Linked DNA regions of Caenorhabditis elegans. The protein of the gene in region 1 purifies or fractionates together with the protein of each later gene. This does not show direct contact. Each region holds a gene or a part of one and is shown in the gene's direction. Other genes may lie near its edges.

Evidence for each region.
Region 2: the proteins of C08F8.15 (region 1) and R03H10.2 fractionate together in Caenorhabditis elegans (co-fractionation; one large-scale study listed by BioGRID). This does not show direct contact.
Region 3: the proteins of C08F8.15 (region 1) and F53H1.3 fractionate together in Caenorhabditis elegans (co-fractionation; one large-scale study listed by BioGRID). This does not show direct contact.

The regions. Positions count from the first base shown.
Region 1 is NC_003282.8:11,159,063-11,169,382, reverse strand, and holds C08F8.15 (F-box domain-containing protein), read left to right. Parts: upstream 1-8,575; 5' UTR 8,576-8,591; coding exon 8,592-8,677; intron 8,678-8,725; coding exon 8,726-9,692; 3' UTR 9,693-9,820; downstream 9,821-10,320. Other genes in the region: C08F8.6 (non-specific serine/threonine protein kinase), read left to right, coding at 5,095-5,423, 5,527-5,836, 6,005-6,120, 6,210-6,597; fbxb-9 (F-box domain-containing protein), read left to right, coding at 6,854-6,939, 6,990-7,104; mboa-4 (Membrane Bound O-Acyl transferase, MBOAT), read left to right, coding at 9,922-10,026, 10,092-10,231, 10,275-10,320.
Region 2 is NC_003280.10:4,150,721-4,162,083, forward strand, and holds the start of R03H10.2 (uncharacterized protein), read left to right. Parts: upstream 1-5,052; 5' UTR 5,053-5,054; coding exon 5,055-5,219; intron 5,220-9,455; coding exon 9,456-9,626; intron 9,627-11,171; coding exon 11,172-11,294; intron 11,295-11,363.
Region 3 is NC_003282.8:1,324,484-1,335,737, forward strand, and holds the start of F53H1.3 (UDENN domain-containing protein), read left to right. Parts: upstream 1-4,678; 5' UTR 4,679-4,679; coding exon 4,680-4,775; intron 4,776-4,961; coding exon 4,962-5,083; intron 5,084-5,375; coding exon 5,376-5,520; intron 5,521-6,973; coding exon 6,974-7,079; intron 7,080-7,133; coding exon 7,134-7,273; intron 7,274-8,362; coding exon 8,363-8,628; intron 8,629-9,856; coding exon 9,857-9,979; intron 9,980-10,704; coding exon 10,705-10,828; intron 10,829-10,890; coding exon 10,891-11,007; intron 11,008-11,254. Other genes in the region: F53H1.4 (PHD-type domain-containing protein), read left to right, coding at 465-1,018, 2,896-3,174.

The DNA.
Region 1 (10,320 bases):
GTAAACTTTACTAGTGTGTGAAGTTTTCAAGCAACCACTATGATTGACCACACTCTACTCATCTTTTAATTTAACTTTAACTCGGAGTTTTCAATTTTTATTTAATTTCAATACATTTTATCTGCAGTTTGACTTGAACAAATTTTGAAACTTTCTCAATTAAGAAGTGGTTCTTTTCTGGGATTCTGGTTTTTTCGGAAAACAGTTCTGTATCCTTGGTCATGTTATTATATTTGCCCTATATAGTCAATATTACTCTTGAAAACTCCCTTCCTGTCGGATCCTTTTATTGCTCACGGAGCATCCACCTCATCCCAAAAACTTTGTTCTCTTTTCATCCCGCGCACAATCACCACACACTTCTTGCCGTTGTTGCTCCCATTCTTCAGAATGCCTCCTCAAATCTTTTTGGAGGCACAAGTTGAAGGAGTTTTGGAAGACTCAAAAGAGCTCAAAAGACCCGACGACATCCCTGAGAATACTTGACCATTCATTGTCATCAGTAAAGACTTTATGATGAAAAGAATTGGAGCAAAAGTTTTGAGCAGAGGAATGGTAGTTTTGCCGCAAAAAGTTAGATGGAGTCTGGGGTTCTATGTGAAATATGTAGTAGACTGTTTTGAGAGAAAACTTCAGGTCGTGTGAAAAATTAAATATAAATATTATTTTAGGGAAACTCTAGGTTCCAGACTTGCTTGAACCACAAACGTAAAACTGACGAATTTCAAGCTGTATTTTTTACAAACTTCATTTTCAACTTTATTTTTTATATATCAGTATCAGGCATATAGTTCTCTCTCGGAGAGCCAGAACAAAATCGAACCAAAAAACCAATATCCCTTGATTCATTAAAATTTTAATTTTCTTTGAAGTTAGTTGCTGAAAACTTTAACATTGTAACACCGATTGTAAATTCTTAGATTCGTTATTTAATGTTCTACCCCTCTTGTTCTTCAGTAGGTTGTCACAACCAATTCAGTGTAGTCTATAGTATTAGGTTTCTAAGCAAAAAAAAAAACAGTAAAATATTTTTCCAGCTGCCAGGCTCATGGTATTTTAGAACCTAATAAAATTCTTCAAATGCTCATCATATAAATTGAACTCTCTGTGGCTTGTACCACAGGGTACGAACATGACCTCCATTTCATTTTAGTGGTGAACACCTGCATTTCATTTTGATGCTTACGCAATCAAAAATACTTTTTTTTCTCGATTTTACCCAAGAGTAAGACAATGTGTTGGGATTTTACGCAATATCGAGAACGATGCAGGAAAAGGTCGTTGAAGAGAGATAGACAGACGAGGGTCATACAGGTGTGAACTTTTGGAAAACTTAGCGAAATGGTGGGGGGGGGGGGGGGGGGAAGTAAAATGAATAGATCTTCCAATGTTACATTGGATTGTAAATTATTTATCACAATCATGTTTCCGTATAGTATTGCATCCCATCGCTCTATGTACTTGGACAGCTTATGTTTCAGTTGTCTTTTGAGTTGGTAAAAAGTTATCAACTGACAAAACAATTTATATTTTTTCTATAGTGCTTCAATCAGACTTGTGAACAATTTTTCATCACGTAGGCATTAACTTCTCTCGTTGGGAGGCGAATTTTGTGGAATCCCTAGTATTCACAGAATTTCAAAATCCGTAGGAAACAGAACGTTCCGCTTCAAGGCGCACAAAAACTTGATAGCATACGGAAACCGCTTCATTTCTATTTTCAATTTCTAATTATAGTTTCACTGAATCAATTAATCGAACTTCTGACAGAAACTTTCCAACTTTAAATTGTTTGAAATGTACCTGGAATTAAACACGGACTAGAAAATGGGATGATCATCTTATTGTTCAATTCTATGAACCGGAATTCTTTAAAAACTATTAGGTTTCATCCATTTCAAGCCGACAAGAGCTCCCCACAGACTGTTCATCACATTGTTCCCTCTAATCTTCTTCCCACGTTTTGCGCTAAAGTTTTGTCACACCATATGTCGGCTATTTGTTGTTTATAGGTAAGTGGTGTCATAGCCAAAGGCATATAATATGAAGGATATAATAAGCGGAAGCTATTCTCATTCTCTCTTTCATTCAGAGCGGCGTTAGATTTCGCGCATGCACCGCCCGTGTCACACATACCTCGAAAGCCCCCACACAGATAATTGTCGATTTGAATACGCATCATTGAGTTGGCAAAGAGCCGTTTACCGTTTACCGTAGTCGTGAAGTTAGTAGGTAACATGGGAAAAAGTTTGGAAACATTAGAGTACAAGGGTTTCGTTTGGGAAGAAGTGGAGTAAACGGGTGAAGTGATTTGTTATACTTTGTACTGTTAGTTGTCTGATAGAGATACGTTTCTATTATTCAAACTTGAATTTCATTCGAACCTTTTAATTGTTTGTAAGTCCTGAGAGAACCTTTATAATTATATTGGCGTCTTGTCCGACCTGCAAGTACTGCTTCTAAATTTTTGATGGTACACATCCTTTTTTCACTACTTTTTTATAATATTTAAAACACTGAATATTTCAATTATGTGGGCAAAAAAGTAGATGTATCTTTTTGATGTGTGTATTGCTTTTTGCCAGCTATACCGTAATCCCAATGATTCTAAATTCCGTTTTCACATCCGACATGTGAATTCTACACGCCAAATCATCGTTTTTAAATTCCGAAAATCCAGAATTACATCCTTCATTTTCCCGCATTCCTTTATGATTTCCTCTAGTCTATTTGCTCATGATCTATATTAATGTACATCTTCTTTTTCATTTGTATCCATATATCCGAGGTCTTCTCCTTCTTCTTCTTGTTTGCCAACACATCTCCCTCATAACTACAGTATCCCCCGCTTCGTGTGTCATCTTAAAAGGAGAAGAGTGTGATGGCGTAACCTCTCGCTTTCTTTTACAAGTTGTCCGATACTTTTAAGGGATTAGGATTTATTAGAGAACAGACCAAAAACGACTGGAAATACAAGAGTAAGAGAGATTTGTCTCAAAATGATTGAAAACATCCACTTCTTGCACAATGCGCCGACAAAAGGCAGATGATCTTTGTTACAGGTGGATTGATGTACATTCAGGTCAAATAAAGGAAAACTAAAGATGTTAACCGCAGGCTCTGTAACTGTATCACTCTTAACAAATGATTATTTCACTATTTTATTCTAAAAGTATCCTTTCCAGATTATTATTTTTATGAAAACCATATAAAAATTTTGCAGCTTTCAGATTTTAACCGAAATCAAATAAATTTGAAGTCGCATGCAAACTCCCGGCACCTATCACATTTTGTAACTGAAACCAAAGTTAAAAGTACTTCATTCTCAATGTCATCAATCTAAGATTTTTATTGAAATGTTCCATAGTACCTGGTACATAGCACACTTGAGTTAGTGACACCCGATTGGAGTAGATGCATGGGTACGTTATGACCTTATTAAATGAGAACTCGATTTGTTAGAAATGAAGAAGTGAACGTGTCTACAGTAACCTGATGCCAAATAGTTCAAAAAACCGGCATCTAGATATAAGAAACATATTTCCTAACTTTTCAAATTTTCAAAACTGTAAAAAACATAATACAAACAATTTTGGCACTATCGCAACATATTCTTTGTTTATTCATAGTCTTACAATAAAAACAAAAAAAACAAGAGACAAAAGCACTAGATGAATTTCGACCTTGAGCTTCAACCCATCATGAGCACTTCATACAATGCTCGAGAGTCCCTCATTGTTGTTGTATGCAGATCTGTAGAAGAGTAAGTTTCAAGGATAAGGATCAATCGAAGATATTGATGATTTCCGGGGGTGGATTGAAGGGGATATAAGGAGTATTGTGTTACTTGAATGCAACATTTTCAAAAACCTGAAATGGATATTTTAAATGATTGATTATTCCACCACAGATATCGTAAGCACCTGTCCAGTAGAGGCATTTAAAAGATGTACATCTTGTACTGTTATCCTGGAGCAAAAAAATATATAATTACAGAGTATCGATATGATATTACCAATTGAGCAATCGTCTTACGGTGAAATTCAAAGGATAGGCATGGCTTGATCAGACCTAATACAGAGTAACCAAAAATGGACGCGACAATTTTTTTCAAACAGCTGGCAAATGTTTAGATAACACAAAGATGTTAGTAATGACTGTAGTTGCTTAAATTCATTAAATGATCAAAAGGAAATACATACTCAAGTTATTGAAAACATTTTCAGAAATAATTTAAGTTTTAGAAATTGAATGAATTCAGCTAATTTTCAATTTTTTCAAACCAGATATGTGTTCTTTACAAATGTTTGATATCTTTTTACAGTATTCAAATTACAATCTGAAACTTATGCAATCTTTCAGATTATCTCACTATCACCATTCCTAATTCTTCCACATTCCTAATCGAGGTAAAAGGTACACCGCCACGTGTGTTGCAAGAGGATTATCAAAAGAAGAGCAATTTGTACGAGTACACAACACAAACAACCATTTTATTGGATTGCGTGGAAGACGCAACAGAGCCGGAAAGAGAGCTGACAGATGTGCTCGGTCGGATGCTTTGTGACGGAACATGGATAGTAACAACAAGGCTACAATTTGAGCGGCACGGTTATACAGGTGTAACTGCCAGCAAAGCACTTGAAGTTGGAGGGAAATTTTGAATCAATGTCTAGCAAAATAATAAAAAAATTATTTACGTAACCTTTTATAAAATTTACGTTACAGGCTTTATCAAAATGTCGATCTTTCGACAAAAATCAGTATTAATTTATTTTGGAAGTTTTTTGCCAAATTACTAAAAGGTGAGTAGGGGGAATTTCAAAGTGATCATTTTGCAGTCAGACTAGGGAGGGGGGGGGGGGGTGGTGATAATTATAACAAAATAATTTCACGTGACCTTTTCTTATCAAAAGAAAACTTCCAAAAGGGGGAATTCGAAAAATAAATCAATAATAATTCTCCGACAAATTACTAAAAGGTATGTAAGGGCAGACTTTTCTTTTAGCCTAAACAGTTGTGTTAACCAAATGTTAATGTAATGGCTTGAAATTTGTATCTAATTCAATTCACATTTACAGTAACTCAAATAAAATGGGCGACTTGATCCAGCTAAGTGTCGGTACAAAAGTAAAAAAGTGGCAAATTGATAAGAAACTCGGAGAGGGTGCATTTGGTGCAGTCTACAAGTGTTCCAACCCGAAAGGAGACCTTTTTGCACTTAAAGTCGAGGGAAAAGACGAGAAAATTCAGTTGTTGAAAATGGAAGTCTACGTGTTGAATGAGTTGAAGAAGGCCGGAGGACGTCATTTCTGTAATATCGAGGATAAGGGACAAGTCGATAATTTCAATTATGTCGTGATGACATTTGTTGGGTTGTCACTTGCCGATTTGAGAGCCATTTCACCAACTAAGAAATTCTCGTAAGTTTTCTTTCAGAGAAACGGTTTTACAGAGATCTGGCAAAACGGAAGTTATTGTTCCCGTTGGATCTCCCAGAATTCAATCACCAAATTGCCTTTCCAGAATGGGAACCGCTATCTCCATTGCCCGTCAATCGCTGGAGGCACTCGAGGACATGCACAACATTGGATATCTCCATCGTGACGTCAAACCTGGCAACTACACAATCGGACGTGCCGAGGTCAATGAGCTTCGCAAAGTTTATGTGCTGGATTTCGGTATGGCTCGTAAATTTGCTCACGAGGATGGAACTATCAAGAAGCCCCGTAACGTCGCCGGGTTCCGTGGGACTGTCAAGTATGCGCCTGTCAGTTGTCATGCTGGACGTGAACTCTGTCGTCAGGATGATTGCGAAACGTGGCTTTACATGGTGGTGAGTGTGTATTCGGATCAAAATATTATCTGCTTTTCAACTAGATTTGAATTCGCGCTTAAAGTCACTTGCGCGATAATTCAAACTCTGCCATTTTAAGGAAGGCAGAAAGCTTATCAGAAATTGAAATTGATCCGAAATCTAACATTTTAAATGTTAAATTTCCAGGTTGAGCTCACTAAAGGGTCCCTGCCATGGCGTAATATGACAGAAATCCAGGATGTTGGAAATGAGAAGCGTGCTATTCGCCGTGATCCCATCGTCAAGAAGAAGATGTTCGGAGGGTAAGAGACAGATTTTCTAAAAAACTATTTTTGAAGTGTTGAAAAAACTTTCATCACCCGTCTCTGTTTCAAAACCTATCTTATTTCAGCTGTCCACGTGAGTACCTTGACATTCTCGAAGCGATCGATAAGGGACAATTCTTTGATGAGCCGAACTATGAACGGATCTACTATCTTTTGAGAGAGGCAATGAAGAATACGGGATCCACTGAATATCCGTATGATTGGGAGCAATCTCTTATGAAGAAAACGAAGGAAGAACAGGAAAAGAAGAAGAAAGGAGTTGTAGATCAAACAGAAAAGGTTATCAAGAAAAAAGAAGTTGAGTTGGCAGAGGGAAAATCTCATAAGGAGACTAAGGAGGTTACCAAAGTCAGTAAGGAAATTGTTGAGGAAAAGAAGGAAGAGAAGAAAGAGGAGAAAAAGGAAGAGAAAAAGGAAAAGTATGAAGACGATAAGAAGGAGGAGTTGTATTGATTGACTTTCGAGAAAAATAAATTATTTTTGAATGTTTCATGTGATATCTAGTTTTTTATCCTACGCGTACGTGATTATTTTGAATATTGGAGTTTCTCATTAGTAACATTGCTTTTTGTTCGAAGCATTCAGGATGAGGTCACCTGGGTTTCCTGCCATGCTCAGTTACTACAACATTGACATCTGTTGCAACTATTCAGTTAACTATCGATCTATATTCTTTTGCAGTCATTCATTTTTGCCTAACACAACTATAATGGCTGCCGTTTCTGAATTTCGTCTTCTTCAATTGCCTGAAAGAGCTCAACGAATTTCACTCTCGCACATGAGTTATAATTCAATGTAAGTTTATTTTGTTAACAAACAACCAGTTTAGTCATTTTCTTTTTCAGATTCTCACTCTCCCTGTGCTCCACAAAAAAAAACAAAAGACCTCGTTCGAAATTTCAATATAAAGTTCTATCGATTTTCTTTAGAAATATTTGGCGACATTGCTCTGATTATTAGCTGCGAAAACAGTCAAATCGATTTTAGTCTAATTCATTGAGCAGTAAAAAAACGTTACACCAGGATGATGTGCTACGAAAAACGTTAGATTTTTTGCAAATAGAGTGGAGAGTTTTGTATGGAAACGACCAAACTTGACATTTAGAAATTGGATAGATCACTTTCTCAATATTCTAAATATTTCAACTTTGAATGTTATAATGGCAAAGAGAAATGTTCATGTTGATTTTGAAGATCTTAATAGTTGTTTAGAAGGAGTACCTATACGAACGCTCACCTATGAAGGTATTGAAATAACTTCAGATAGAATTAATCGAAAGCATCCCGTTAGTGATACATTTTTATCAAAAGCGGGGTTTCTTGATTTTTATAATTGCACGTATAAAAGCTCACAGTTCATTCACAAGTTTCTCATTCATAATACTACGACGGTATTCACTCGTGGAGTGCCGCGATATAACCTGAATGATTTGCTGGTGTCTAATGGCCAAAAAATTTACGTTCAAGTCGGTAGAGGCATCATTTTTTTGGAAAAAGATGTCAATAAATTTTTAAAGCATTGGATACGTGGGTCCAATAGAGAACTTAAATCATTGGCATTCAGAGCTCCGATGAATATGGAAATAGAACATGCTATAGAAACAATATTAAAAGGAATATGTTACAAGGATGCACGAGAAGAAGATGCAGCTTCTATTAAACTGGTTCACATCTGCAATGGAAATACCTTTAAACATCCAATAATCAAAATAAGTGGTTTTCGTATTAAACGATTCGATGGAACAAATGCAACAGTTGTAATCAGATTATTAAATGCAAATAGTGTATGTTGTAATGTTGATATGTTTGTTTCCTAGATTCTTGTTTTAATGCACTCTCATTAATTGTACTTTTTATGAACACATATTTATACTCACTTTCCCTCTGACTCTGTCCCCTCCGAGGCACTGTCCCTTTGACCGCTATTTTTTGCTGCTTACCTTTCTTTGTTTCCTTTCTTTTCACTCATGGGACGAAATAAATAATAATCTTAAACGGAAGAGTGCTGGAGCATTCAGATACATTATTTTGAGTATTCGTCTCGAGGGCTGTGTAATTGATTTTAATCTGTACATGCTGAATAGTTGTGAGAAAATTACACCAGGACTATGTGCACCGGAAAAGGTTCGACGTTTTACAAATGATGTGGTAAATTTTGAATTAAAGCAACCAAACTTGAAATTTAAACATTGGATAGATCACTTTCTTAATATTCCCAATATTTAAACTTTAGATTTTGCAATGGGAAGGAAAAATGTTAATGTTGATTTTTGAAAATCAGGTTTTTTCGTTTGAAACATTTAGGATGAGGTCACCTGGGATTCCTATCATGCTCATTGTCAGTCACTACAACATTGCCATCTGTTGCAACCATTTAGTCAGATATCGATCTATATTCTCTTGCAGTCACTTCATATGTCTTGCATTTTCTGCATAACACATCTATAATGGCTGCCGTTTCTCCATTTCGTCTTCTTCAATTGCCTCAAAGAGCTCAACGCATTTCACTTTCGCACATGAGTTCTGTTTCTGTGTAAGTTTATTTTGTTAATACAACCAGTTTAGTCACTTTCTTTTTCAGATTTTCACTCTCCTTGTGTGCCACAAAAAATACAAAAGACCTCGTTCGGAGTCTAAATCTGAAGTGCATACGATTGTGTTTAGAATTCTTTGATGACCTTATTTTGAGTATTTGCTTCGAAGGCTGTATAATTGATTTTTATCTGTACATGCTGAATAGTAGTCAGAAAATTACACCAGGACTATGTGCACCGAAAAATGTTCAAGTTTCTACAAATGATGTGAAAAATTTTAAATGGGAACGACCAAACTTAAAATTTAGAAATTGGATAGATCACTTTCTTTATATTCTCAATATTTCAACTTTAGATGTTGCAATGGGAAGTAGAAATGTTAATGTTGATTTTGAAAATCTTCATAGTTGTTTAGAAGGAGTTCGTGTAAAAAAGTTATCTTATCATATACTGGACATGACTTCAAATGAAACCAACCGAACAAATTCCGTTAATGATACATTTTTATCAAAAGCAGAGTTTATTGTGTTGTCTAATTGCACGTATGAAACCTCACAGTCTATTCACAAATTTCTTATTTGTAATAATGCGACACTATTCTCTAATGTTTTTTCTCCATATAATCTGAATGATTTACTCATATCCAATTGCCAAAACCTTCTCGTTAACGTTGATAGAGGCAACATTTTTTTGGGACAAGATGTGAACAAATTTTTAAAGCACTGGATACGTGGATCAAATGTAACACTCAAATGTTTGGCATTAGAAGCTCCGATGAATATGGAAAGAGAACTTGTTATAGAAACAATATTAGAAGGAATTGATTACAAGGTTAAAGAAGAGGAGGTGTCAGTTTATAAGAAAATGCTTGATATCTTCAATCACGGAAATCCTTCAATTACCAAAATTCGTGGTTTTCGTATTACACGATTCGATGGTACAAATTGCGATGTTGTAATCAGAACATGCAATCCGAGTGTTATGCGGTACAGCCTAAATATGTTTATTTTCTAGTTTTGTTCTGTTTTGATACACTCTCATTAATTGTATTTTTTATGAACACATATATATGCACATATTTGTTGCTTCTAATTGTTTTGTTAATTGGAAAAACTGGAAAATGGAATAAATATTGGAATAAAAACGTGAAATAAGAAACCACAATTCAAAAATGACGTAGTGGATGTGGAGATAAACCTTTAAGAATAAATCAATTTATTATTTTTTCACATCGACTCGGAGGATGTCGTCGTTGAATGAGGATGTTGACGAGAGTAATCATATTTTTTATGATCCGGTCACACTCTTGAGACCGGTTTCACGAGCGATTAGCATGAATTTGGATCAAGTAAGAGTTTTTGAAATATTTTAATGCATTGCACTAAATGTGCCTCGCAAAACTTGAATTTTCAGCTTAACTTCGTCACTGTTCTTCTTCTATCATTCGGTTTGGGCTACTGGTTCCGTGTACAATTTTGTGATGCAAGTCGGACAACTCGTGCAGCAGTCACTACATCAGTTGGGCTAATTTTCACCTATTTTTGCTATGGAAAGTGAGTTTTGAGATGAAGTAGATTAAAAAAAAAGGGTTTTCAGTGCCATAGCTCATTTATTCATCAACGGGTTTGGAAGTTACCTTCTC
Region 2 (11,363 bases), on another chromosome or scaffold:
CAAACCTAAAATTTTCAGTAAAAATATATGAATTTTTTTTCAAGCAAAACTTAAAAAATTACAACACAAATTTGTATTTTCAAAATAAAACGGAAATTTTCATCAGATTTTTGGATTTTTTTAGCAAAAAATTTGAAATTTTCAGAACAAATATGAAGAATTTTGAGATATTACAAGCTTTTCGGCAGGTTTAAGCCTCTATAATGTTTAAGTGCAAACACATGAAACGCAGATAAAATACAAAAACATTTTTTTTGGCCAACTACAAAAATTATGTCCTCTTTTTTTGATTTGGAAAAGTTTTACTATAATACACTTTAAAAACAGGACGGTTTTGAAATTGTCGTTTTTTACAAGCTAAAACGTTAATAAACTCCATAAGTGTTATATAGAAATTACGCAAAAAAGAACATTCTTGAAGCCTAAGAATTTGAGCGGTAATTCAAATGTTCAAGCATTTTCAGACTGGTTTTTCACAACTTACAATATGAGACTTGCAAATGTTTCGATATTCTGGGAATTTTTATCAGTTTTTAGAAGACTTTTTTTCAGTAAAATGGTAACTTTTTGACAATATTCTATTTGAAATTACTATTTATGTAGATTCGTTTAAAAATCACTTCATACTCCCCTAGCAAACTGCACAAAGTTTCACGAGAAAATCGTTCTTACTCTGCAGTGAGTGTCATTTTCATCAGGATCATCACCACATTCGCGAGGTCATTCCATCATTTGTTGAATCCTAGACCATGAAAAAAAACGGGCCAAATCACAGGGTCATTCAGGACGTTCAGGGGAAGTTGGCAGGAAATTTGAATGAAACTGAAGATGGAAAAACACAAAAAAAGTAACTTGCTACTCGTAATTTTGACCATTTGAATAAAAAATATTCAAAAAAAGCGCTCTAATTACAAGACTGCTAACTAATCAGCGATCTGCAAAAGGCGTGACCTACGCTGCTGATTGGTCGGAGCATGGACGGCAACACCCCTTCCTCTTAAAATGTTTCCATTTTCCTATCACCTCGAGACGGTCACTCTCCCAATCATTTTTCTTCATCTTTGTTTTTCTCCATCACCGTTTTCTTTCCTTTATTCCCACCACACACACACCGCAGCTGTAGGCGACCTTCTGCGGAAGGCGAGATGGGGCGCTCAACCGTTTACGAGAAGACATGTCTTCAGGTCTTCTACTGCTACGGTCCAATGGTATGGGAGAGAGTTGTCCTTGACTAGGTGGTGGATGGAGATCATATCGCATTTCAAAGAGACGCAGGCGTAAAGAGTGAACAGTATACCGCCTGGCTTCTCAATTGCAGATCATCGACACAGTGCCCCCTTCTCGGGGGAATGGTTTGTATGGGTGTGTGGGTGTGTGGCCCCAATTTGAATATCCTCTTACTCATTTTGTTGGCGTTTTCGTTTCTTACTTGCGACCGTTTTAAAAGTTATTTTTTGGACAACAAACATTATTTTTCTGCAAAAGTGCATGCCTAGGCTTTTACCGGCTTAAGCATGGGCCTAGGTTTAGGCTCAGGCTTAGGCTTAGGTTTAGGCTTATGCTTAGGCTTAGATTCAAGCTTAGGCTTAGATTCAAGCTTAGGCTTACGCTTACGCTTATGCCAAAGTTTCTGCTTTTGCCAAGGTTTCGGTTCAGGCTTATGCTCAAGCTCTTCCCGTGGTATGTGTTCAAGTTTAAACTTTCTCAGAATTATTGGAATTCACCAAGCTCTAGATTTGAATCTATTCCAGCTTAAAATTGGTCCAGGCGGAACTCGCATCAATTCAAGCCCTTTTCTTTTTGATCTTCGAAATAATTCTAAAATTAGAATTTGAATATTTTTCTACCCAACAAATATACCTAGTTAAGGTTACCTTATATGTTGACCACGTTTGCCGATTTCAATTGTTTCTCTCAGGGTGTCATAAATCAAGCAGTCACCCTTTATGTCCTTGCCACTGTTATTTCCTACCCCCCACCAACTGGTACAAACCATTTCGAAAAGTTTTATTTAGCTGCCTATTTCAGATTAATACCCTAAAAATTAAAATTTTGTGCGCTTATCTATGCAGAGCAACGCTAAAAACAGGAAGAACCCAGATAATTTCGATCGCAATCTTTTTTGCGAATTTTCTCACATTTTTCTTCTAATTTTTGCTGTTCCTACCTAATTAACCGTATTAATTTCTAATTTTCAAACAATCTTCGATATTTATCTCACACATTTACTATTCACCGATGAGAATCTCAAGAATCATCACAACGTTCGTCCCGTCGGCGAGGCTATGGCTTGGTTGAAAAATGAAAGTCTCCAGTTGTCCTGTCAATTCGTTTCGAATTATCCACCTCCTCCGGAGGAGAAGAAGGAGAATGAAATTAAGTGATGGGGTAGGCTGCTGGTGACTAGGGAGATGCAGAAAGGGGGGGGGGGGGGTCACTTTTATTGTCTACCCCGTCCGGTCATCCGTCTTTATACCTGTCTCATGATGACTCATTTTTGAAATTCAAACGAGGTAGACTCGGCAGTTAGGCACTTTTTAAGCGAACACCTGAGATTGAAACTAAGCGTAAGCCGAAGCGTAAGCGTAATCGTAAGCGTAAGTCTAAGCGTAGGCCTAAGTTTAAGCCTAAGTCTAAGATTAAGCGTAAGCCTAAGCCTTAGCCTCATTCTAAGCCTCAGCCTAAAGCTAAGTCTAAGCCTAAGCCTATGCCTAAACCTAAGCCTAAGCCTAAGCCTAAGTCCAAACCTAAGCCTTAACCGCATGTATGTAGTTGTTCCAAAATTGTTTAACTTCATTGCAGCTAATTTTCCTGAACACCTTCCTCATTAGTTGACCTATTTTCAGCCAATTACAGTTTGAAAGTTCTTTTTAAATTTGAAATCCTCTAATTCCCTTTCCCCCCTAAATGACCTTTAATACCCATAGAGTCTCCTGTCCTTTGGTGGCCACTTTTCCAACCCGATTACCTCTAATTTCCCACTCTCTCCTTCTATGTCTCTTTTTCTGGTTACCAAGGGACCACAGACTACTAACACACCTTTCTACCGCTTTTATCCCGAACGGGAGGGGGCACTATGCATTAATTATACTTACGAAGGTCGCAGACTTTTATCTTCGTTTGTTTTCGATTTTGCATACTTTTGTGTGTTTATTGATTTTTTTTTTCGTGTGAAATTTGAAATCTTTTATTGTCGGCGGAGCGAATTTGCATTAATGTTTTTGTTAAATTAGGTAAGAAGAAGACATTTTATATTAAAAATTTATAAAAGCTATCGATTTTCTATAATATTGGTGTAACATTTTAGGGTGTTTTAGCGGAAAGCCAAAAATTTCTGAATTTTCTTTTTAATTGTTGACTTTTTCAAACATTATTTGTATTTTACATACCAATTTTGTTTAAGAATTTAAAAAAAAAATAATAATTCAAATATGACGAAAAAACATTATCCGGACGTTAAGTTTGCTATTTTTGAGAAAAAAACAATAAACGACAAATTTTCTCAAATTCGGAAAACTATGCGTCTTTACAGAGTACTATAATTTTACCCTAAATAAATTCTGCAGTGTTTTTTTCTATTTAATTTACATAGATTTCTCACATTTTTTTCAAAAAAATAAATAAGTGCACAAAACTGAAAATTGATGAAAATTCCAAAAAGATAAATTACAGTACTCTTTAAAGACGCACACTTTTTGGCATTTAACTAACATTAGTCGTATCGAGGCCGGGTATCACATTTTTGGCGGAAAATTGCAAAATTAATTAAAATTTTGCAATTTTGCGTCTGAGTAATATATTTACAAGATGGTGGAGTTGTTTAATACTTGAGTTTTTCTAAATTCAAAAATTTCAGAGATTTTTGTGAAACTTTTTTTCTATTTTTTGGGTTAAGGCAATTTTCTATTTTCTATGTTTCAGTTTTCCGGTGTACCCCTCCACCTTATTCCTAGTGACCTTACTTGTCTCGGGTCCTTCATTACCTTCCCTTTTCGTCTTCTAAACGCATCTCACAAAAGTTAAGTGTTGACTCATTTCTCTCCCTCAAAAACCTTACATGTTCCTTTTTCGGAATGCCTCACACAACAAACCAGCGATGCATTTCCGAACACACATATGTCCACCCATAAAAGTGCGATAAGTAGATTTTGACTGTATATTCCCTGCAGGTGGTCTCTTTCTCTCTCTCTCTTCTTTCTGTCGGTTAGTACCAGAAGCCTGTCTCCCGTTTTGTCATATTCTTCTCTTTTCCTGATGCTTCTTCTCCACTACTACCACCTGTCTTCTTCTTCCCTTCCATTCCGTTCGTTTTCCTATTATCGTATTAGTATATACTAATATGCGTTTGACGTTGGAAACCTGAAGTAGATTCTCTCCGGAAGATAGATTACCACATTTTCACTAGTCGGTTGTTGGATTTATGAAGCTGTTAACACATACTTTTTATTAGCTGGACAGTTCAGGAATGGATTTGGCTTGGGCTTAGGCTTAGGTTTAAGCTTAGGCTTGGGTTTAGGCTTGGGTTTAGGCTTAGGCTTCGGCTTGAACTTAGGCTTAGGCTTAGACTTAGGCTTATGGTGAAGCTTAGGCTTAGGCTTAGGCTTAGGCTTACGCTTACGCTTAGGCTTACGCTTAGGCTTACGCTTAGGCTTACGCTTAGGCTTAGGCTTATCCTTAGGCTTAGGATTAGGCTTAAGCTTAGGCTTCGGCTTCGGCTTCGGCTTAGAGTTAGGCTTAGGCTAGGCTTAGACTTAGGCTTGTTCTCTAAATTTTTAATGTTTTTTTTGTTGCAAAGACTATAGTTTTTTAACAACTTCATGACGCATTTTATTTAAGCTTGTAAACTTCTAGGCTTATAGATTTTAATGTAAAATTTCGGGAATTGGAAATTTCGATATTGAATAAAAAAATTTCCAAACAACGTTTGCAACATTTTTCTTTAGAAAAAAAATTGTTTTTTTCTTTTTTATTTTCACATTGTCTTTTGTTCCTTAAGTTTTTATTCCAACTTTGCTAAAAGTATTTACAGTTAATTTTCAAAATTATCTGCAGAAATGGATTTCGATTTCGATTCGGAGCCAAAAACGCCTCCTCAACTACCCCCTGCTCCACCGATTCGGACAGTGTCGAATAACCCAAAAGTCACGTTTAAAGGCGCACAGACTTGGAGAGAATCTGTCGGAATGTTTTTGGTTATGGCACTGGCATTGGCAGTGGCGGTTAGTTTTTCAAATTTTCCCCAAAAAATTTAAGTTCAAAATCCGACCGCGGTCACACTTGGCCGGAATCCATCTGCTATCTTTAGTGAACCGGATATGAGAAAAAGTTTGTTTCGAAAAAGGAAAAAAAAGAAGATTATATGCACATGAATACTGCTTCACATTTTTGCAAAAAGAAATATGTTGTGTGCTTATTTTCAAACTTTTTTGGGATTGGAACTTTCCGGTACACTGAGCTTTAAACCGAATTATTAATAGGATTAAAATAAGCTGGGAAGGGGGTTCCGGGAAGATTATAAATTTTTTTTTTGGTTTAACTGGAAAAAGATTATTACTAATGAGATACTAGGTATACAAATAAATAAATAACAAAAATGCACGAAACCTTGTGAAAACTGCAAAACGAAATTTCGAAAAGACAAAATTGAAGAGTGAATTTTTGAAGCATGAGTCTACAGATATTAAGCCAAAGAGCTGAGCCTGAAAGACTCAACTTGAAGGCCTACATTTGAAGGCCTACGCCTGATAGCCTGGATGGGATGTGTCGAAAAGCCCTTGGGATTAAGTCGAAAGACTTAATCCCAAGGGCCTTGGCCTAGGGTCCTAAGCAAAAAAGCCCAAGCCTTAGCCTGAAGGTATAAGCCCAAACGTTTCGGATTCCCAAAATACTTCCTGACTCATAACTCAATTTTAGAACCAAATCTGACTGAATCACAAAATGTTTCGGGAACTCAAAAGAATCTATGACCTGATTACTCGGTTATTCTTAATAAACACCCTCTGCAGCTGTAAATACATTATGAATAGGTGCTAGTTAGATAGATCAAAAGTTTTTGTTAGATCAAAAAGTGAAGAGGAAGTCAGAAAAGTTGGGTTCGAATAGTGATATGGTCTATTAGAGAAATAATTGAATCTTTGAATCTGTGAGTCTGTGTCGGAAAAATATGTTAACTACAAACTAGGATTTTCTCCTTTTCGTAGTGAAAAATATAGTTTAGAAAAAGCTAGCTTAGTGGTAGTCCTAAACCTGAGACTCGGTTTAGGCCTACTCCTGAGCCTAGAACTAGGCATAAGCAGGTGTCTAAGCCTAAATACATATCTGAAGACCATACTTAGGTTAGAAGCTTAAGTGCCAGCTCTTGCAACCTTGAAATGCTTAACATCTACTAACCGAAGTTGTGAATCCTGATGGCCTAGCTCAAAGCCTAAACCTAGAGCTAGCCTTAAGCCTAGCCCTTAGTCCTAGGTTAATGCCTAGTCTTGGGCCTAAATCTAGTCCTAGGCCCAAACATGGCTATAGACCTAAACCTGACCATAAGCCTATGGCCAACGCATAAGTCTAGCCCTAGTCTAGCCAGTCCTGTTCCTAAAATTTCTGAAATCTGAAAAAATCTGAAACTTTTCGGTACTCTCGCTTCTTTGTTATGAATTTTTCATCTTGTTGTTCACTTTTAAGCATCTGAAATTATCTGAAAACCCTGAAAATCCCTAGAAAAAACAAGACACTTTTGATATATAAAAATGTAATTTATTACTTTTTTTGGAAGCTTTAATGTCAATTTTGGTTCAATATATACAAAGAAAGTAAGGGTTTCTAGAGTCTACAACAATTCAAAAAACAATGAAGAAAAAACAACAAAATAACATTTAAAAAACAAAACCGGAAAAAAATAGTAGTTCGAATGTGGAGAGACCCGTGAAGGCGGCTTGTGTAGATTTTTGTACAGATATTTAGAACAGTTAGGGCTCATAGAGGAGCTTTCCAAGAAGCTTAATAAAATGCAGATACACATCTGCGGAACCCACGTCGCTTCTCCTCGATAGTCCTCTGGATTGCAGCCTTGACTGCTGGGGAGCGGTGAGCATCGACGTTGGTGAGAATGTCTTGATTGATGTGGAACATTTTGTAGAGAATTTAGAAATTAGAGCAATTGAAGAATTTGAAAAACTCAAGAGATTAGAGTATTATCAGTGTGTTCTCTTGCTCTTGCTTATATAGGCACCCGTGTGCTCTGGTGATAATTGGCTCCGCCCCGCGTTATCCATCCAACCGAGCATGGTCATGAGGCGAGAGACGGGTGAACAAGAAGAAGTCAGAAGAAGATGAATAGAGAGGAGTCATAGGAGCTAATTAATCAGCAAGATTTTTTGGAGGGGAAAAGGGTACCACGAGGTTTCTCGAGCAAAGCTTGCTTGAGAAGGGGTACTGTAAGGGAGCAGAACTTTTGATGTTTCTAGAAATGGGAAAACGTTTTTTTGAAAAAAATCAAAGCTCAGCTTTGGATGAGGTGTATGCCAAAAGTCTTGAACCAAGCTTAAGCCTAATAGTAACCGTGAAGAAAGAAGCCTGAGACTAAATCTAAAGGCCCTAGTTTAAAGGCCTAAGTTTGAGCTTCAGCGTAAGCCTAAGACTAAGCCTAAGCCTCAACTCAAGCCTAAACATATGCCCAAGCCTAAGACTGAGCCTAAATCCCAAGCCTATGCATAATTCTAAGCCTAAGCCTAAACGTCAAGGGTTTGCCCAACGTTCTAAGCCCAAGAACTCGGCCTCATTTTCTTCCGAATTTGTAGTTTTTGATACCTTTTTTTCTGAATTCTCGTCAAACCTTCCAAAATTTCAAAGCCTACAATTTCCAAATTACTCTGTTTTGACCAACATAATTGCCGGCTGAAAGATCAAATTGAAACTTTTTATTCCAGAAAAAATCGGGTTTCCTGCAAAAGCCCGAGCCAATTTGTGCGCAGTTTTGCCCTATAATTTTCTCTAATTTCATGAGAATCTCGTTTACTTGAACTTTGAAAATTAATGGCTGGTGTTTGAAATTTTCATACCCCAGAAGATTCTCTTGACTGGACAGGAGGAAGAAAAGAAATATTCCAAAACATTTTAAGATTCACTTGACTTATTTTCAGTCTGAAAAACTTGAAATCCTGTTCCGCTTGGCTCGATTTTTTATCCATCTGATTTTTCGGTTTTAAAAAAGAGTCACGTAGTGGCTTACAGACCTTTTTGAACAAATTTTGAAAATTTTCAGCCAAATTTTTAAGGGATAATGCACAAAGTTTCTGATATCCGGAACGTTCGGAACAGGCATAATTAATCGCTTCTAGACGACTTGTTGTTGAGCGGAAATTTGATAATGTCTGGGGGTAATCACGGGAAAATTGTAAAAATTGTAATGGATCAAAGAACATAAAACATAATGGTCTCAGTTAGAGAAAAATATTCTGTGAAAAATTTTAAAAGGCATGTAGGAAAGCAGGCAGGCAAAAAACCCAAAGTTGCCGAATTCCAAAAACTCATTCATCAACTTTTTTTTTGTTTTTTGATTACCAACATATTAACCCAATTACTCACATAAATCCTATCAATTTCACACATCATTTTCCATTCAAAAAATTCAAAATTCTTTCTCCAGACAAAGCGAAAATCCTCAGCATTTTCACCGGGGGCCCCCTATTATCGGATTAGGCAATTTTAATCCAATAAAAGTTTCGGAACTCCCTCAATAAAATAATGGAAACCCAACAAAAAATGATGAATTTTAAGATTTTAGAAATGATGGGCAAAAGCTCTATGACTAAGAACATTTGGCAAGAAAACTAGAGTTTTATGTTTCTAGTTTGATTTTTTTTTTTTGAAGATTTAAGTGCAAATAATGTGTCATGACAGGGGGTGAGCTGGCTGGAAAACATATTAACGAATGATTGTTTGAACTCACTGAGGAAATAAAGCAGATAAAGAAGCGGGTTTAAAAAACAGTTTTTAGTTAAGCAGACGACATTAAGCGGTTCCGTCTGTCCAACAGCCCGGAAGATGTCGGGCGCTGAAAAGGAACAGGAAATTACAAGCGTCCGACGCATACCGGGTCCCACCCTGCAAATGTCAGACGCTGTTACGCTTATTGGATTTTCGTAATTTTGTCAAGTTTAGAGACTACTTTTTGGTTGATAAACGTTCTAAAAATTTTGAAAATTTGTTTTACAGCGCCCGACGTCTCACGGGTTCTATAGGGAACCCGAAAATTGTCGGGTGCTTCACACGTTTCTTCAGCTTATCCTTTTTGAAATAGCTGAGGTTAACCGGGTCATTTTTATCACCAGACATCTTGTAGGACAAATGTTTTTTAATTCGAATTTTGAGCCTCCGTAGTTTTTCAACTTTAGAGCTATTCTTTGCAGTTCTCAAATTCCCAGTTTCGTAGTGGGACCCAACCTAAAAATTGAAATTTGCAGATCTCAAGCCTGGTGCTCCTTTGTTACGTGTGGAAGGACAAGCAAGTGTACGATCATATTGTGGATTTCCTCGACAAAACGATACAAATCTCGAAAATCGCTGAACGTCCGTTCCTAGGAGTATATCAGTTGTCTGAAAAAGAGCTTGAAGTGCTTGGAAACGAGAGAACTGTAAGTTTTAGTATTGGTTCATAGACCCTTTTTGAAACACTCTAGTTAAAAAATTGCCGAAGATCTCTCTGAAATTGTAGGTAGACCGCACTGGCCAAAATGATGTGAATTTGTATTTCAAAAAAACCAAAAAGTTATTTGTAGCTGGCGTTTTTTTTTTCAATTGAATTTGCATAATCAACTTATAACATTTCTTGTACTACATATTTTTAAATAGGATTTTTTTGAATTTTCAAAAATGTGAGGGGATTTCCCCTCAACTATCTGCAAGTTCCAACATGAACTCATTGTTTCTGACCCCCATCTCTTATGTGATTTTTTACATTCAAAATAAAAAATGAACAACAAAATCGAAGTTCAAAAGATCCTTGATCCAACACCAGAAAGTTTTTTGTATTGCTCTTTACCCCGCAACAACAAAATGATGAACTCAAATGTATATGGGATTAACTAGAAATAGACAAAAAAAGTAGAAAAGTAATCGGTTTTTGGTGGCTTTCTCCGAGAACCCACGCAGAGTAGGCGCCATAGATTAAAAGTTCTGGAAGCAATTTTCGGTTTTATTTGGAACTGGAAAAAATTAACTAAACGAGACCTACTAAATATTGGTCTTTTTTGGCAACTCCCAGAAAAGAATTCAGAGACAGAGGAGCTTTTAAGAAAATTTCATGTTTCGAAAAACAAATGATATTTCTTTTCGAAGTTTTTTTCTGAACATTTCCAAAAGAGTCCTTCTTCTCAGTTGGCTTTTGAGATTTATAGCTGGGATGCCCGGCAAATTTGCCGAATTGCCGAATTTGCCGTTTGTCGAGCACGACAAATTTCAAAAAGTAGATTTGCCGAACTTGTCAAGCTCGGCAAATTTTGAAATTTGCCGCACACCCCTGATTTGTAGCATAAAAACACCAAAAATGAGCTACAAAAGTTTTCAAAAAACGTTGAAATATTAGTTTAGGCATAGCTAAACATTTGCCAAAGTTCCAAAAAAGCAATATCGGAAAAAGTTAATTTTTTTAGATTTTTTTTCAAAAAAAAACCTCTTATTTCAAATTCGATTTGAAAAACACATTTCAACGCAATTTTTCAACCACTTATTTTAATTTTTTAACGAGTTTAAATTTATTTTCAATGACAACACTCTGCCAACTTTCAGGCAACTCATTGGCAACTTATGTCAGAAATTTCTAAAAAAGGGCTGACTGTCGCCAGAAAGTTGTCACAAAATGTCGCGCCTGCCATAAACTTTCAAACGTTCCCAGAAACTTAATACCCCTATTATCAAAAATCATGACAACTTCCGGAACGTGTGAACTTCTCATGACGGCAAACTAAATGTGATTTTGCGTCATAAAAGGGCAAATAAATAAAACATTATATATCATTGGGGGATTAAGGTTGTGAATAAAAAAATAAACAGATTATCATTATAGGTCATTTGTCTAGCTGTTCACTGAATATTGTGATCATCATACTTTTTGGAAAAATGGCCTTTTGAAAAAGAAAATAGAAAAAAAGTACAATTAAAAGAAAATAAAGAAATTTCAGTACAAATGGTTTCTCCGCGGCTACCTGCTCTCCGAGCTCGGCGTCTTCTTCTTCATTTTCTTGGCCTCGTTCCTCTATTTTTGCTTTGACATTTCCGGTGGAAAAGCTAGAGTTGTGTTTTGGGTAAGTTTGTTTTTTTCGGCTGGAATTCGCTTACAGTAATCCTATCTCAGTATCTGAGCTACAGTAATC
Region 3 (11,254 bases), 9.8 Mb from region 1:
AAGTTATACGGTAACTCGGCAACAATATTGTCTGTGACTTGTGTGTTTCTCTATCCGAATTGATGGTTTGAATAGTGGTATTCTCGGCTGAAACATGCAATAAATACCGTATTCCAACCAACAATTTGTGCAATAGAGCACATTTGTCACCGGAGATGCGGAAGCTATGCCCAAATTTTCATTTTTCCGGTGGAAAATAAACTGGTGAAATCCGGTGACAAATTTGGAATTTGTGCGATTTTAGTTAATCTGGTGTTAATATTCGCTACATTTTGTTTAAAAGTTTTCGAAAATTCATAGGCTTCAGGGGGTTAAAAACTAGCTAGTTTAGGCTGAAAACTGTCCAAATTTGAATTTTACAAATTTTGATGAAAATATGTCAAATTAGGCGAAAATTAGCAGAAAATTCGGAAAATAACTAGATTTTCAAAGTCAAAATTTAACTTTTTTTTTGCATTTTCCAGAGTGCTTCTCCCATCTAAAAATGCCACGTTTCTGCCGTCGTGTACAGGAAGCTTCAAATGCATCCTGTCTTCACATGCTTCTAGCCTATTTTGATGCCCGAATCGACCAACAACGTACACTTCCAGAACTTTCATGTCAAGTGTGCCGCCGGAAGACTGGAACCGAGAGGAAGCTGATGTGTAAGCAGTGTTCTACAGTATTCCATTACGGTTGTCATCGTCCAACGATTAGTCGAGCTCTTTTCGAAGAGGAAGGCTTCAAGGAGGGATGGTGGTGTGCAAAGTGTACTAAGGAAGATCGTAGAAGGCAACTATCGGAAGCTAAGGAGGATCTTCGACAGAAGGAAGAAGGTGGAGGGGATGAAGAAGATCATCATGGAAGTGGTGAATCTGACGATGAGGATGAGGAGGATATTGTTGAAGAAGAGACTCGAGGAAGATCTGCTAAACGAAAGGCCAACGCTGCAATGCGAGATGTGCTTGAATTTGAGGGAGTGCTGAGGCAGACGCCTGCCCCGCCACCGCCGAAGCGGCAGAAGACCGTTGTTGTGCCGGTAAGGGTGAAAATTGGATGGAAATTCTGGCGAAAAACTGGGTTTTACTGGATTTTTTCCCAAAAAAATTGGAAAAATTATGGATTTTAGAAAAACAAAGGAAAAAACGGAAAATATAGAACTTTCGACAACTTTTTTCCGAAAAAAATTGATTGAACAATTTAGGACTTTTCCGACTTTTTATGGAAAAAAATTCAAAAAATTATGGTTCTTTTCCGATTTTTACGAATATATTGGAAATTTTTTGGATTTTGGAAAAACAAAGGAAAAAACGGAAAATATAGGATTTTCGACTTTTTTTTTCCGAAAAAAGTCAATTTTTGGTTCTTTCCTTTTTTTTCAGGAAAAAATTGGAAAATTTCTGGGTTTTCCCGACTTTTTATGAAAAAAATTCAAAAATTTTGGATTTTTCAGTTTTTTTCCGGAGAAAGAGCAAAAATTTGGGGTTTGCCGGATTTTTTCCGACGAAAATTGGAAAAATTATGGATTTTTCCGATTTTTTCCGAAAAAAACGGAACATTTTAGGTCTTTTCCGACTTTTTATGGAAAAAAAATTCAAAAAATTATGGTTCTTTTCCGATTTTTACGAATATATTGGAAAATTTCTGGATTTTTCGATTTTTTTTTCCGGAAAAATTGACCAATTTTTAGTTTTTTCACCCTCTTTTCCAGAGAAAAATTGGAAAAAAAACTGATTTGCTACCGAAGAAATTGAAAAAATTATGGATTTTTCGACTTTTTTTCAGAAAAAATTGGAATATTTTTGAATTTTGGAAGATTCGTCTAAAATTAGAAATTTTTCGAAAATATCTATTCCCAAATTTTCCATTTGTTGAGCAAAATTTTGTGAGTTTTGCGAAAAACTGGGTTTTACTGGATTTTTTCCCAAAAAAATTGGAAAAATTATGGATTTTAGAAAAACAAAGGAAAAAACGACGGAAAATATAGAATTTTCGACTTTTTTCCGAAAAAAAATTGAACAATTTTTGGTTCTTTCCATTTTTCTTTTCCGGAAAAAAGGTCAATTTTTGGGTTTTCTAACTGTTTTACCAAAAAATTGGAAATTTTTTGATTTTGGAAAAACAAATGAAAAAACGGAAAATATAGGATTTTAGACTTAAAAAAAATCAATTTTTGGTTCTTTCCATTTTTTTTTTTGCCGGAAAAAATTGGAAAATTTCTGAGTTTTCCCGACTTTTTATGAAAAAAATTCAAAAATTTTGGATTTTTCAGTTTTTTTCCGGAAATATTAAACAATTTTTTTTCTCACCCTTTTTTTCAGAGAAAAATTGGCAAAAAAAAACTGATTTGTTACGGAAGAAATTGACAAAAAATAGATTTTTCGACTTTATTTCCGGAAAAAATTGAAAATGTTTGGATTTTTTGGAAGATTCGTCTAAAATTAGAAATTTTCAGCCAATAAAATTTAGACAATTTCTCGAAAATATATGTATTTCCAAATGTTCCTTTTTTTTGAGCAAAAACTTGTGAATTTTCATTCAATTTGTCCAGAAAATCAATTTTTCCGTAATTTTTCCGCTACTTTGAAAAAAAATTAGGTCTAACAAAAACCTACAGTAACCCACAGGTTTTCGTGGCGGGACCCAATTTTTTAGACATTGCGCAAAGTAGGACAAAGTTATACTGAACTAAATTTCCCTGTATATTGTCTGTGACTTGTGTGTTTCTCTATCCGAATTGATGGTTTGAATAGTGGTATTCTCGGCTGAAACATGCAATAAATACCGTATTCCAACTAACAATTTGTGCAATAGAGCACATTTGTCACCGGGGATGCGGAAGCTATGCCCAATTTTTCAATTTTTTGTTAAAAACTTGAGAATTTTTCCAGAAAATCAATTTTTCCAAATTTTCAGGAAGTGCTGGAGCTGTTCAACTCGATCGAACGTGCCAATCCTCGACTCTACAAGACCCTGCAACAAATTCCCGGCCAATCCCGTTCGACACGTAACGCTCAACACGAGAATCGCTCTCTGCCGGATATTGAGCAAGATTTGGACGTTTACACGTCTGCCGAGCAGCTTCACGAGCATTTGAGCCAATTCTTCCGTCATGCACGTGGATACATTGAGACTCATAACCCAAGAAAGTTGGATGATCTTGATGAGCTCATTTCTGAACTCAATTTTATGTGATTTATTTCGGAATACACTGAAAAATCTTCTTTTTTTTTTGAAAGTGTATCATTTTTATTGTGAAAAGTGTCCTAAAATGCAGTTGAAATGTTGAAAAATCGGTTTTTTAAATTAAAAATTTAAATTTTCGGAATTTTTTCCCAAAAAAATTGAATATTTTAAATTTTCCGATTTTTTTTCCAAAAAATTCGAATTTTTCAAATAAAAATTTCCAAAAATATGAATTTAATTTTTTTTTTGAAAAAATTCGAAATTTTTCGACTTTTATTTGCAAATTTGGAGATTTTTCCAGTTTTCGCAGAATTTTTTGATATTTTTTCTACATTTTTTACTTTTTTCCCTATTTTCTCACTATTTAATCCCAAAAAAAACTATCAATTTCTTATTTTTCTCACTTTTTCACAGATTCTCCAAATTTTCCTGTCCCTTTAAGATTTTTTTTCACCCCCCGGCAACGAGTTTTGGCATTTTTTTGAAATTTTTCATCATGGCATTCGATCATTTTATCTAATTTATTGTAATTTTTTGGGTGAGAACCCCCTCATTTTTCGATTGTAAAACGTTGAAATAAAGTTGGCACACGTAATAATGAAGTTACAGTAATCCAGCGGTGGGTCTCGAGTGGAAAACTTGGAAATTTTGAAATTTCCGGTTATTTTTTGCTGGAAATTGTAGGTTTTCAATGGAAAGAATTCAATTTGAAGTGAATTTCACAAAGAATTCGAAAACATGGAAAATACACAAATTCCGGAAATTTTCTGGGTCTCGAGTGTAAAACTTCAAAAATTTGAATTTCCAGGTTAATTTCGCTGATAAAGACAACTTTTCTGGTGAGAAACTCGCGACTTAGGATGAAAATTGTGGTAAATATTCAACAATTTTGGAATTTTTTGGGTCTCGAGTGGAAAATACAAAAATAATTAGATTTTTCGATTATTTTATTCTAAACATTGTGTTATAATCGTTTAAACAAACCATTTGCTTAATTTTAACGACAATTTTCGTTAAAAATATCTAAATTAAGCTTGAAAACATTTTTTTTTAACAGAAAAAACATTTGCGCGTCAATTAAAGTGTATTGTATGCAATGCGTACTTTTTCGCTTACCGTAGTTAGCACATATTTAAATAGACATTCAATTTGAATTATTCGTGAAATTCATTTGTTTGGTATAATCTATCTGATTTCAAATCTTGCTTAAACTTTCGGATTCGGCTGAAAATCCCCCGAAAATCCCCTGAAAATCGGTTAAAACCAAAACAATGCAAGTGCGCTCCATCGCACCACCGAGAGAGCACGCATTCCGTGGAGTGCGCGAGATGACGAGAGAGACGGAACCGGTTTCTTTGTTCGTTTTTGCCGATTTTGCGCCGTTTTTCATGAATTTTCCAGTTTTTTTCGCTGAAAATCAGCTAATTTATCGATTTTCTCACCATTTTTACCCTAAAAATCTTGAAAATCCACCTAAAAAGCACAGAAAACCTGGAATCTTGAAAATTTTCAGAATGGAGCCGGATATTGAGCCATGGGACCGGTTTCGCGACTGGCTTCACTGCATTTGTGTGGTCACGTTTGATTTGGAGCTTGGACAGGCGTTGGAAGTGAGGATTTGCAGAAAAACTGAAAAAAAAATGCAGAAAAATCAAAAAATCCCGGATTTTCTGACTTTTCGCTGCGAGACCCGGAAATTTTCGCATTTTTTAAAATGATTAATGTGATTATACTCAAATCAAAGCTCTCGACGAGCTGAGCACGATTTTGACAAAAAAAAAATCTGGTTTTTTCAGGTAATCTACCCAGGAGACGCAATTCTATCGAACACTGAAAAAATCAATATCTGCTATTTGGCATTTCCAGACTCGAATTCCAGTAATGCACGAGACACAAATTTTCATTTCAGGATACGCAGGTGATTTTTTGAGATTAAAAATTTCGGAAAAAAATATTTTTTTTTCAAATTTTGAGAAAAAATTTTTTTGGCTGAAATCTGAAAATTTGCGAGTGATTTCCGTGTTCAGCTCACCGAGAGCTTTGATTTAAGTATAATTATGACCTACTTTGCTGAATTTTGAAGAAAATTGGGTTTTCGTGGCGGGACCCAACTTTTTTCAAATTTCAGCAAACTAGGTCATGTTTATACTCATTTTGAAGCTTTAAGTGAGCTGAATTCAATGCAAATACTCAAAATTAAAAATTTTCAGAGCAATCAGTGACGTCAGAGACTGCCAAAAGTCGTTTGTCGACAAATCTCCGACGTCTCTACCCTTTGATACACACTATTTATACGGTTTTGTGCATTTTCGGCAATGCAAAGACCCGACAATTCATCGAGGATATTATCAGAAGGTTCATAACCGGAACGCAATAAAATTGGCGAAAATTTGAGTGAAAATTCGAGTTTTTCCCCGCTAAAATTCACTTTTTTCCGGAAAAATGGAACAATTTTTAGTATTTTCCCCTTTTTTTTGGAAAAAACGGAATTTTTTAAATGTTCGTCTTTTGCCAAAAAAAGGGTAAAACTATGGATTGTCGGCTTTTTTTCCAGAAAAATGGAAAATTTTAGGCTTTTCAATTTTTTAAAAAGGAAATTCGACAAATTGTCACAATTTTATGACCTTTCCCAGAAAAATTGGAATTATTAAGCTTTTAAGACGTTTTTTTCAGTTTTACTGGCATTTTCTTATTAATCTAGATGAGAGCTTCAATTTAAGTATAAATATGGCGTATTTTACGCAAATTTTAAACAAAATTGGGTCTCGTCACAAAATTCTACAGTAACCCACAGGTTTTCGTGGTGGGACCCAATTTTTTCAGACTTTGCGCAAAGTAGGTCAAAGTTATACGGTAACTCGAAAACAATATTGTCTGTGACTTGTGTGTTTTTCTATCCGAATTGATGGTTTGAATAGTGGTATTCTCGGCTGAAATATGCAATAAATACCGTTTTCCAACCAACAATTCGGTGCAATAGAGCACATTTGTCACCGGGGATGCGGAAGCTATGCCCAAATTTTCATTTAGCGCGGAAATTTGGCTGTTTTCGGGTGTAAAGTAGAAAATTTGGAAATTTCGACATTAAAATTTATTATAAAATTTGAAAAAAAAACCCATAAAAACCCTTTTTTCTGACAATTTTCTGTTTTTTTTAAATCCCAGTTTCCGAGGAAAGCTATAAATTTGGGTACGGTAACTCGGAATTTATGATGTTTTTTTTTTAAGCTGTAAAAACTGAAAAATTCTGCTCAATTTCCAATTTTTTGTTGAAAACCTAGTGGTTTCTTGGATTGTTCTAATTTTTAATCAAAATCCTGCTGAAAATTAGAATTTTTAGCTTTTCCGCTTGTTTTTCGGAATTTTTTGTGGCTTTTTCCAGGTAAAAAATCCGTTTTTTACGGAAAAAACGGCAAATTTTTGAATTTTTCGATGTTTTTCCCATGAAAATCAAAAAATTTGTATTTTTTGTTTTTTTTATAGGAAATTCGAATAGTTTTTTTTTTCGTGGCGAGACCCAACTTTTTCAGACTTTGCGCAAAGTAGGTCAAAATTGAACGGCAACTGAACTGAATTTCCCTATATATTGTCTGTGACTTGTGTGTTTCTCTATCCGAATTGATGGTTTGAATAGTGGTATTCTCGGCTGAAATATGCAATAAATACCGTATTCCAACCAACAATTTGTGCAATAGAGCACATTTGTCACTAGAGATGCGGAAGCTATGCCCAAATTTTCCATTTCTCAGCCTGAAAACTTGGCTGAAAATCCATTCCTTTTTTTTTTTAGCTAATTTTCTATTTCCAGAGCATCGTCCTAATGTCAGTGCTCCCACTGTTTTCCTTGTTCTACTCAGTTACCGCCCGCATCGCTGAGCATTTTTTTGAAAGTGGAGAAGCAGCAATTGAAGCAGGTAGCCGCCACCTGAAATTGGAAAAAAAAACTAAAATTTTCTGAAATTTTCCAGCCTGCCATCACATTGACACGTGGCAACAGCCGCACGCTGGTCGGACTATTGAGTTACCGTTGCTCGGTACTTTAATCAGTTGCCGCCTACCGGCCGCCTGTGATCTACCATATGAATTCCGGCTTGATGGACATGTTGAGGTAGCTAAAATTGGAAAAAATTGGAAAAAAAAAACTCGAAAAATTGAACATTTTTGGTCTGAAAAAATGTCCGGAATCTATCAGAAAATTGAAATAAATAGAGAATTGTGAAATTTTTAGCCGAAAAATTCTTATTTCTAGATATTTTTTGAAGAATATTCCAATGATGTTCCAGAATCTTTGAATTTTTTTTTAAATTTAAGAAAATCACAAAAATTTCAGAATTTTAATTCTATAAGTTTTCGAAAAAGAAAATTTCTTCAAAAAATCAGAAAATATGCTGAAAATTAACGAAAAATTGGAGATAATTTATTACAAAAATTTTCAGAAATTAAAAAAACAAAACTGAAAAATCTAAAATATTATCCAAAAAGAAGTGTATTATAAATTCACTAAAAATCTCAAAAAATCCAAAATTTATCAGAAAATTTAGAGAAATTCACTAGAAATTGCGTAAATTTCTGAAAATTCGAAATATTATCAAAATTTGGACAAAAAAATCGCAAAAACCCCCAAAACTATCGGGCAATTGTGAAAATTTCAGAAAAAAAACTCAAAAATTTAAGAGCTTTAATTCTAGAAATTTTCGAAAAATTCCAAAAAAATCACAAAATTTTTCAAAAAATTAAAAAAAAAATTTGAAATCTCGAGAAATCCAAAATTTTTCAGAAAATTTTCAAAAATTTTTTGAAAAAATTTGAGAAAATCCTTCAAAAACCTATAATTTTATTAGTTTCCTAAACTTTTTTCAAAAAGTCTTTAAAAATCCCCATATTTTTTGTTGTTGTAAAACACCGAAAATTCTAGAAGTTTTTTGCAAAAAAAATCAGACAAAAGCTCAAAATTAACGAAAATTTTAGAAAATCTTTGAAAATTCCAGAAATGTTTAGAGTTTTCTAAAATTATTTCGAAAAATCTCAGAAATTCTCTAAAAAAATCCACAATATCGAAAATCGAAAAATCTTCAGCAAAATTTTTGTAGTGTAATGTGTCAAAAATTTTCAAAACTCGTATTAAAATACAAAAAAAAAATCGATTTTCCCACAATTTTTCCCTCCAAAACCACTCAAATTTTTGCTACTATTTCAGCTATCAGACGATGATTCTCAACGCCTTGTCCGTCCAGATTTCACTACATCAATTGTACAGCACGTCCATCATTTGCCACTGCTCTGGGAGCTTGTACTGCTCGGCGAGCCCCTTCTCATCGTTGCTCCGACGCCATCCATCACTTCTGCTTTAGTTCAGTCAATCGTTGGATTACTGTCACCTCTGAGGATTGTCAACGATTTTCGACCGTATTTTACGATTCATGATTCGGAATTTCGAGAATATTCGTCGAAAAGTCGATCGCCGTTAGTTTTTATGCTGAAAATCCTTTTTTGATTTTTTCTTCAAAAATCAGCGAAAACTCGGCTTGTGCCATTTCTCAAATTTTTAGGCCAAAGGATTTATTAAAATCTGAATATTTCGACAAAAATATTGAAAAATAAAATTTTCCAGAGAGGAATGCCATAAATTTGGGTACGGTAACTCGGCAACTGGGCAATTTTCGAATTTTTCAGTTTTTATTTTTAAAAAGCTGTAAAAACTGGAAAATTCGAGTTTCAATCGGCCCCCCGGCCCAAGCAGTTACCGATTGAGCCAGGGAGGATGAGGAAATCCTAGGTCCTCGGTGACTGCGACAAAAATGTTGTTTGTTTTTTCTGGACCTTTTTTTTCCTTTTTTTTTTTGGGATGAAAAAATTCGCAAAAAGTTTTCCCGTGGTGGAGAGTTGAACTCATTTTTTGTGCTAAAAATCCGGATTTTTTCATTCAAAAATCAGCGAAAACCCAGCTTGTGTCATTTTTCCAATTTTTACGCCAAAAGATTTGTTCAAAACTGAAAATTTCGACAAAAATATTGGACAATTTGATTTTATAGATTCCGTAACTCGGTAATTGCAAAAACTGTCGAATTTTCCAGTTTTTTACATAAAAAAAATGTAAAAAGTGAAAAACTTTGGCCAAATTTCCAATTTTTTGGTGAAACCCAAAAATTAACATAGCTTTTGATATAATTTTCTCAAAATCCTGCTGAAATTTTGAATTTTTAGCTTTTCCGCTTGATTTTCGGACTTTTTTCAGAAAAAAATTGAAAAACTTATGGGCTTTTCCGATTTTTCACGACGGTAAACGGCAAATACGGTTTTAAGAGTTTTTTTTTGGAAAAAAAAACGAAAGTATCAAGAATTTGAGCATAAAAATGACGTAGTTTGCGCAAATTTGTTTTTGGGTCTTGTCACAAAAACCCACAGTAACCCACAGGTTTTCGTGGCGAGACCCGAATTCAGACTTTGCGCAAAGTAGGACAAAATAATACGGCAACTGAACTAAATTTCCCTGTATATTTTCTGTGACTTGTGTGTTTCTCTATCCGAATTGATGGTTTGAATAGTGGTATTCTCGGCTGAAATATGCAATAAATACCGTATTCCAACCAACAATTTGTGCAATAGAGCACATTTGTCACCGGAGATGCGGAAGCTATGCCCAAATTTTCAATTTTTGCTGAACATTTCATTAAAAATCACTTTTTTGCAGACCCCGTGTGATTCTTGGCGTAACGAATCCGTTCTTCATCAAAGCCCTGGACCATTGGCCGCATATACTTAAAGTCGCAGAGCAAGGAGCTGAAATTGGTGGAGACGATATGAAGAAGCCGAAGTAATTATTGGAAAATTTTGGAAAAACTCAAAAAAAAAGTTCTAGAAAATTTTGGAATTTTTAGAAATTTTTTGGATTAAAAAAATTAAATTATAAGATTTCTAAAAATTCCAAAAATAATTTTAAAATTTTCCAGGAAATTTTAGATAAAATTCCTAGGAGTTGTCAGAAAATCCCAGAATTCTTTTTTTTTTAATTCCCAGAAATTACAAAAAATCTCAGAAAATTCCCAAAAAAAAAAAGAAAAATTGCAGAAAACATCAAAATTGAGAAAAATTACAAAAAAAAAATTCAGAAAAAACACAGAAAATTCCAAAAAATCTGGACAATTTTTCAAAAAAATCCCAAAAATTTCTTAAAACTCCCAGGAAATTCTCTTAAAATATCCAAGAAAATTCTCAGAATTTCAAAAAAAAAATCTCTGAAAATTCCAAAAAATCTGTAAATTTTAAGAAAAACTGATAAATTTCAGACTCCAAAAAATCTTATAAAAATCTCAGAAAATTCAAAAAAATGCCAGAAAATTCCCAAGAAAAATTTTTAAAGTTAAAAAAAATTGCAAAAAATATCAGAAATTCAAAAAAAAACCCCAGGCAATGCCACAAAATATCTGAAGTTTTGTAAAAAATCCCATAAATTCCCAGTCAATTCCAAAAAATATTGAAAATTTCAGAATATCTCAGAAAATTCTAAAAATTCCAACAAAAAAAAAAACAAATTTCCAGAAAAACGTGGTCATCCTCCCGAACTCTGGACACCCCAGCCGGCCTATACACTCAATACAAGCCATTTCTCTCGAAAGATAAATCCCTCGCAAAGAAATTACTCCGATCCGGAAACTCGTTGGAGGTACAGTACCCCGCTACCTACAGTACCCCTTCCTACTGTACTTAAAACTGAAAATTTGCCAGGTTCAACACAATATTCTACAGCGTCACTTCTTGGAGTTAACCCACAGTTTTATGATTCCAATGGAGAGATATTTGAGCTCACTGATGCCGTTGAAAAAGGAAATGTCACCGTTTAAGGTACGTTTGCCGGAAATATGGAACAATTCTCGAATTTCATCAGTTTTTCGCTGGCAAAAATCTGAAAATGTCCAAGTTTCCCCGCTTTTGCCGAATTTTTTCTACCATGTTGTTAAAAATTCTGAGTTCTCTAGCTTAGGGGTGGCTATAGGTCGACCTAGGTCGACCTGCGACCTGGAGTGGCAGGTCGCATCGCGACCTGCGACCTAGCGACCTGCAGCGCCGAACTAAATGTCTTTCTCCGTAT